Regions from separate parts of the Mus musculus genome. Here region 2 is reported to be linked to region 1. Evidence: microRNA targets listed by miRTarBase, many of them from high-throughput screens and not tested one by one. Region 1 holds a microRNA gene; the other region holds the end of a gene's coding sequence.
Evidence for each region. Region 1 holds the annotated microRNA mmu-miR-1843a-5p (UAUGGAGGUCUCUGUCUGACU, at 1,532-1,552, opposite strand). A microRNA usually pairs through its seed, bases 2 to 8, with sites in the 3' UTR of a target mRNA and lowers its output. Matches are read on the target gene's strand: a 7mer-m8 pairs with bases 2 to 8, a 7mer-A1 pairs with bases 2 to 7 and ends in A, and an 8mer does both.

Region 1 (3,000 bases):
AAGAGGAAATTTGACTCACTAGATACATATTTTGTGGCAACGCCATGGTAGGTGCTAAGAACACAAGGGGCAAGCTTTTAAAGATCTGCCAGGGAGGTCTAGTGAGGGAGTTTCCTCGGGTAGCTAGGAATTGAGCAGATGAACAACAAGGAGAGCGGTGTACACTAGGACAACTGTAGTTCTAGTACTTGGGAGGCTGGGGCACCATGAGTTCCAGGCCAGTCTGTGTTACAAAACAAGGCCCTGTAACAAAAATCAGAAAAAGGGGGATGGAGAGATGGGTCAGAACTTAAGAGCCACAGGCTGCTTTTATGGAGGACCTAAATTTGATTTCCAACATCCACATGATGGCTCATAACACCAGTAAATCTAGTTCCAGGAGATCCAATGACCTCTTCTGGTCTCTACAGGCACTAGGCACACACATGATGCAGATGCAAACGAATACGCATACGTATACAACAAAAGTTTTAATAAATCAAAAGAAAAGAGGACAAATCCTTGTGTTGTATCTAGAAGAAGAGAGACTGCACAGAAGGACAGGCTGCTTAAGCAGTTCTTCTTTTATTTTTCAATCTAGTGAAATAGGTTATTGATTAAAAATTATTTAAATTTTTATAGCATCATACACAATATATGTTCTGGGTATATAAATATGAACAAAGATAACCCCAACGAGCTATAAGACAACAGCAAAAATTGTTTAAGAATCTGCTGCTCTAAATACAAAATTCCAAGTAAAGAGGCAGTGTGGACAGCAACTATGGGAAGGAGGTGACAGCTATGACGGAGAGGCTGCTGGAACTTGAGGTGCCAGGCACGATTAGAGCAAGGAAACCTATGCGGGGCTCCAGGATTTCACCCAGAAAAACTGTAGGAGTGAGGACGGCATTAAGAAAAGCAATGGAGAATAGAACAGAGCGCTGGGGAGAAAGCAGGCGTTTAACAAATGTGCCAGTAGGTAGGAAAGAGGAGAAGGGGAAGAGACCGGCTAGCTAAGTGTGGGGGCCACTCTTGTAGTGAGCACTTGGGAAGATGGCACAGGAGGACGGCCAGATATTGAGGCTACCTTGGGCTCCACAGTGATATTTGTCTCAAAATACAAAGAAGAGAAGGGAAGACAGAAGGACTAGGGAAGAGAGGGAAGGAAAAGGAAGAGGAGCTGACTAGCTAGCCCCTAAGTAGAGCTATTCGATGAGGAGGTCTGCTCTTTGCTGTTTTTTTTCTACTGTTCCATCTAAGCTCCTGGGTCCTCCTAATCCTGATCTCTCTTTGTCCCTTCATCAGCTCTCTACACAGTTAATGAGGCTGTTGTGAGCACTGGACTCACAGGGAATAAGGTAAATACTCAATGAAGTAATAGTCTTCCACTTATTTTCCTAACAGAGTAGTAACTTCAGTTTATTTCCTTTTTGTAAGATAGTACATTTAATCAGCAGAGATCCTAAACAAACTAATAAGGAAATCAGTAAGTAGAGTGAGAGTCTAAGGTTGTATGGAGGTGAACGATCAGACTCAGCCAGCTATTCTAAGTCAGACAGAGACCTCCATATTCATGTAGGACCGCTGCCTTCTGCAAACAAAGGCATTTTCTCCTTTGTCTACATGGTTGGTTTTGCAGCTTCCAGTTTGAATTCCTTTTGGTCAAACTTATTGACCAAACTTATTGTCCCTTAGATAGGCTAGAGATATACCTCTTTCGCATGTCTATGTAGTGTGATACCCTGGAGTTGATCCTCAGCACCACACATTCAAACACAGCAGTTAACATGATACACTACTATGTATTAACTCTACATGTACCTAGTTGAATATGTTATTTCAAAAGTATACACCAATGAACCACACCAGATCAAGACATGATTTCAAGCTTGGTCAATATCTTACCCTGGGATACCACTATTCTAACACCTATAATCTGCCTGTCCTTAAACACCACACAAACGGAATCATAGAAGACAGGTTCCTCTGTGGCTGTCTTCTTTCACTCAAAATTCTAGCCATGAGGCTCATGCACATCTACATGTGTGAGAGCATCAAGGTGTTCTTTTAATGTTTGCCCAGTGTTTTACTACATGGCCACTGTCCGCTCTGCTATCCACTGTCCTTTAGTGGACATTAGGCTTGTGTCAGCTTTTGGCTACACTAAGTAAAGCAGTCGCCATACTCCTGTATTTACTTATCCCCAGTGGAAACACAATTGCATCTCTTAGGGAGATCTGAGAGTGAGGCTCAAAATGTTATAAAGGCCATACCTTTAGCCTCAGCAGACACTGACCGCTTCCCCTGACGGCAGTACCTATTTAGAGTTGCCGAAAGTATAAAGCAGGATGGCTTCCTTAGTCTCACATCCCGGTCAACACTATCAGTCTTTTCCACTGGAACAATTCCAATCATTTTCAGTTACCTCATGAGTAATGAAGTTGAAAAGCTTCCTTACTTTTCTTCCTTCCTTTTTTAACTCTCATTAACTTCAGGCTGGCCATTCAGGTAAAGATGACCTTTAATTCCTGGGGTTGCCTTTCCAGAGGTCCTGGGTTACATTCCCAGTACCCACAGCTTACAACTATCTGTAACTCCATTTTCTAGGGAGTCCTACACATTCTGCTGACCTCTTGGGACACCAGACACACATAGAAGGATTAAAAAATTAAAATTACTTTAAAATGGAATTCTATCTTTCATAGATCATACTTTTTTATATACTCTGGCTATAAATTCTTATTCAATATATACATTACAAATTACAAGTACTTGTCCTTGGCTTATCTTTTCACAGATGTCATACCGTCTTTGATGAACAGAGGTCTTTAATTTTAAGAAATCAAATTTAGTAATTTTTTTCTAGTTCTATCCATTTGCCTAAGAATTTCATGAATTCATTGTTTTTAATAGCTGAGTTGTACTCCATTGTGTAAATGTAGCACATTTTCTGTATCCATTTCTCTGTTGAAGGACATCTGGGTTCTTTCCGGCTCCTGGCTATTATAAATAAGGTTG
Region 2 (3,597 bases), not on the chromosome of region 1:
AGCCGTGAGTTCTCACTGGAAACCTGCCATTCCTCGGAGCACGGAGGAGCCTCCAGTGGGCCTTCTCTGGAACGGGAGCAGTGTGAGGAGTCAGGGTCCACCGTGGACGCCACATTAGTCAAAACTTGCATAAGCACAGTCATGAAGACTGCAGCGGTTAATTCACTGCTACCCAAAAATGATGTTTTGGGTGGGGTCCTCAAAACAAAACAACAACTGAAGACACTCAATCATTTTGATCTGGGTAATGGCATTCTGGTCAACAGCCTAGGAGAGGAGCCGATTCCTTCCCTGCGCAGAGGCCGGAAAAGGCGCTGTAAGACCAAGCACTTGGAACAAAACGGTGTTAAAAAACTGCGACCACCGAGCAGTGACATGGATCTGGCCCCCAAGGACCCAGGGCTGCTTGAGGTGGGGCGGAAATTGCAGCAGGAGGAAGAGGACCAGCAGCTGGCTCTGCAGTCACATCGCATGTTTGACAGTGAGAGGCGGACTATGAGCCGGCGAAAAGGAAGCGTAGATCAGTATCTCTTGAGGTCCAGCAGCTTGGCTGGGGCCAAGTAGCACTTGATGTATAGAATAATGTTACCTGCTTCAGAGGTCCTTGACCTGTCATTTATCCAAAAGAGCTAGCTGAATGTTCTCATTTTGAGTTTCTCTCAATGGCAAACCACTGTCTGCTATGGTTCTGAGAGGATCCAGAGCCTTGGTATTCAAAAGCCAAGTGTCGGCATCTTTGGCTTTCTAGGACCAGGGCCAGTACTCCTCACTCTTTGAGTGAGCCAACTCTGAAGGCTTCTGGGCCCAAATCTGGCAGTACCCACTTGGAGTGAGCTTGGGAGTGGCCCTCATTCATGAATGTGAGGGCCAGTGTTAGAGATGGTAGGGAGATGGGATGGATACCTTCTCACACTCATAAAGCCCCTGGCTTCTTCCCACAGAGTGGTGTTTAAGTTAGCCTTGCAGATAAACATGGATTCTTTTCAGAGACAAGCAGTGCCAGTACTTTGGAAGAGCCAAGATAAATAGATGCTCACATTCATCTTCCCTCCCCTTCGCTACATGTTATTTCTACATACCCAAGTCAGTTGAGCTCAGAACTTTTACCTCTACAGAAATTATTTGCATTCTTTGTCTAAACTATGACATTTGATTGAAGCAGTGTGGCTGACGCTGGTCTTCCTGCGACCTGATTGCTAAGTGCTGTCAGCTGGATGTCCAGGTTCTCTTAGCTGCCAGGTGGCCTAGCCCAGACTGACCACTGGCTCTCAGGCCACAAGTCCCATGGATTCTCTACAATCACAGGGTGTCCAAAGGAAGTACAGCCTAGGGCACGCCAGGGCCATGACTGAACATGACAGTGCAAAGCCCACCTAGAAGCACTTCACCTTGCCGGGATGGAAAGCAGGACTGGAGTGACTTCCCTGCCTGCTTACTGCTCCTCTTCTCCCGGGAGCCCTCGCCTGGGGCCGAACTGGGAGGTTTCCTTACTACTTCCCACATGGCAATGGCAAAACTTCCCTAAAGTCAGGCAAAGGACAAAGCTGAAACTCCATACTGTGGAAACAAGGTATCTAGCTGGATGCAGCTGGTCAATTCAGTCCCATGGACCTTTGGGGTTTATTTTTCTTAGCAGCTTGACACCGTGTGTCTTTTGCATCCCTGGTGGTGCTTGGTGCTTCTGCCCTTCTGGGCTTATTGAGAATAGGATTATGATACGGTTTTAGGGACTCTCAGGTGGGCTGGCCTTTCCTGTGTGTGTGAGCTGTTACATAGTCATGTGACTGTCATTTTCACAAACCTTCCAGAGCTTTTACACTTTTGTTCCCTTTAAAAGGTCCCAGCAAGATACTCCATAGTCATCTGATCAGAATGCTTCTGAAACGTTCGAAGCTAGAAGTAGCTGGAGCTTAGACTCACTTTTCTGTGCCAAGGGAGATGTCAGTCTCTGGGAATTCTAGAAGAGAGAACTTCAGATTTGGAGTTAGACAGAAACTGGTTGAAGCTTCTGAAGGTGGGAAGAAGGATGTGGACTCCCAAGCACTATGTCCCTTGAAGCAGACAGAACTTAATTTCTCTGCAGCTCATAGTTGACTGTTCGCAGGAATGTTTGATGTGTAAGGTGGCCATTAGCAAGGTGGCTTCAGAGGCTGCTCTGGCAGGAACTGTGTGAGTCTGGAGTGTGTGTGTGTTTTTAAAACATGAAATAGTCTCATTACTTTATACTCACACGGCTTTACTCCCCATCCTAGGCAACTTAGGGCTTTTCAGGGCTGCGGGAAGGCAGGCCAGCACCCCAGGGAGGAGAGCTGGCCCCGGCTGCGGACACCGGAAAATCCCATTAGAGAAAACTTAGAAATGTCTACCAAGTCATGTATTTCCTTTATGAGCTTAGTAATTATTATTGGAAGGCTAGGCTTACTGGGTAGCTTTAAAGACACTTATTTTTCCACTTGCCACCCTTTTATATGTCACTAGTGCTTAGAAAAACACTTTCAGTTGGAATTAATTTTTGGTTTTGGTAAGAAGATAAAATATTTTAATAGATGAAAGATATATATTTTAAATATTCCCCTGCCCCTAGTGACTACCTTGAGTAGAGTGCGCAGCAGTGGCAACAAGTGTGGGCTCAGGTGCTGTTGCTGCTGAGTGAGTGTTGCAGACACTGGGCTGTCCCTCTGTACCCCACCCCACCCCCCAGGGAGACCCCAAGGACTGTAGACAGTGTTCTTTCCCATAATTCCTGCTGAGAGCAGTGGCCCTTGAAATAGAGGCAAAACAGTTTATGTTGGGAAGGCGTGGCTTATTCTTTAGTTTGCTTACCCTTGAAAATGGAAAAACTACTAACGTATCTGCATACAAGATGCTCTCAAACTCAGTGAAACCTGAACACTTCATTTCTGAGAATTCCCCATCTTGGTGTTTGACTGAAGTCCATTGCAGCTACAGTTGCTGATGGGGATCCCATAGGAGAAAATGGACCAGGGAAGAGAACGCTTGGGAGGCTGGTGAGCTTGAGTGGAAGACATCCTTTTACAGCTAGAACTAGCTGCAGTCACTGCAGTCCTAGCGACCTGCACACTGCCCACATTCTGCTGTGCTCCTTAGTGTGTGTGCAAAGAGGAAACTAGGAGAGACAGGAGGCTAAGTCTTTCTGATGGGGAATCCAAGAGATGTGCTATGCCTCAAGAGGGCTTGGTAGCCCTTCTCTAGAGGGGAACCCTTATACCTGTTTGAAGAAGTCATCTAAATCATCTGGGCCTGATGTGCTGGTATCAAGTCGGGAAGTACTCTGCCAGCACCCAGCTTCTGGCCTCGGGCCCTTAGTACTCTGCCAGCACCCAGCCTCTGGCCTCGGGCCCTTAGTTGCCTCTTTAAATAAAAGAAAAGAAAGAAAGAAAAAAGTCTGCCTGAGACTTGACTAGAAATCCTTCCTAACTGACCTCATTTATTTAAAAAAAAATTCTTTGATTATGGAAGAAGTACTTTTTTTTTTTAAGTCTTTTTTTTTTTTAAGGTAAAATGCCCCTCAAAAATTAAAGCTATTTAGTTATTGTCTGATTACAAACTGGCCACTGACTAAAATGGGAGGCTAGT

Region 2: miRTarBase lists Rnf169 as a target of mmu-miR-1843a-5p. Seed matches in the 3' UTR shown: 7mer-A1 at 1,551-1,557 and 7mer-A1 at 1,852-1,858.

The regions. Positions count from the first base shown.
Region 1 is chr12:80,390,123-80,393,122 of GRCm38, forward strand. It overlaps Mir1843a (microRNA 1843a), which reads right to left and starts at 1,555; the gene lies at 1,491-1,555. The region is part of intron 5 of Dcaf5 (DDB1 and CUL4 associated factor 5); the gene reads right to left. It also overlaps Scarna3b.
Region 2 is chr7:99,922,269-99,925,865 of GRCm38, reverse strand. It overlaps Rnf169 (ring finger protein 169), which reads left to right. Exons shown (of 6, transcript NM_175388.3): 6 at 1-3,597. The coding sequence ends at 564. Among named protein-coding and RNA genes, the nearest start is that of Gm5115, 8.8 kb to the left of the region's middle.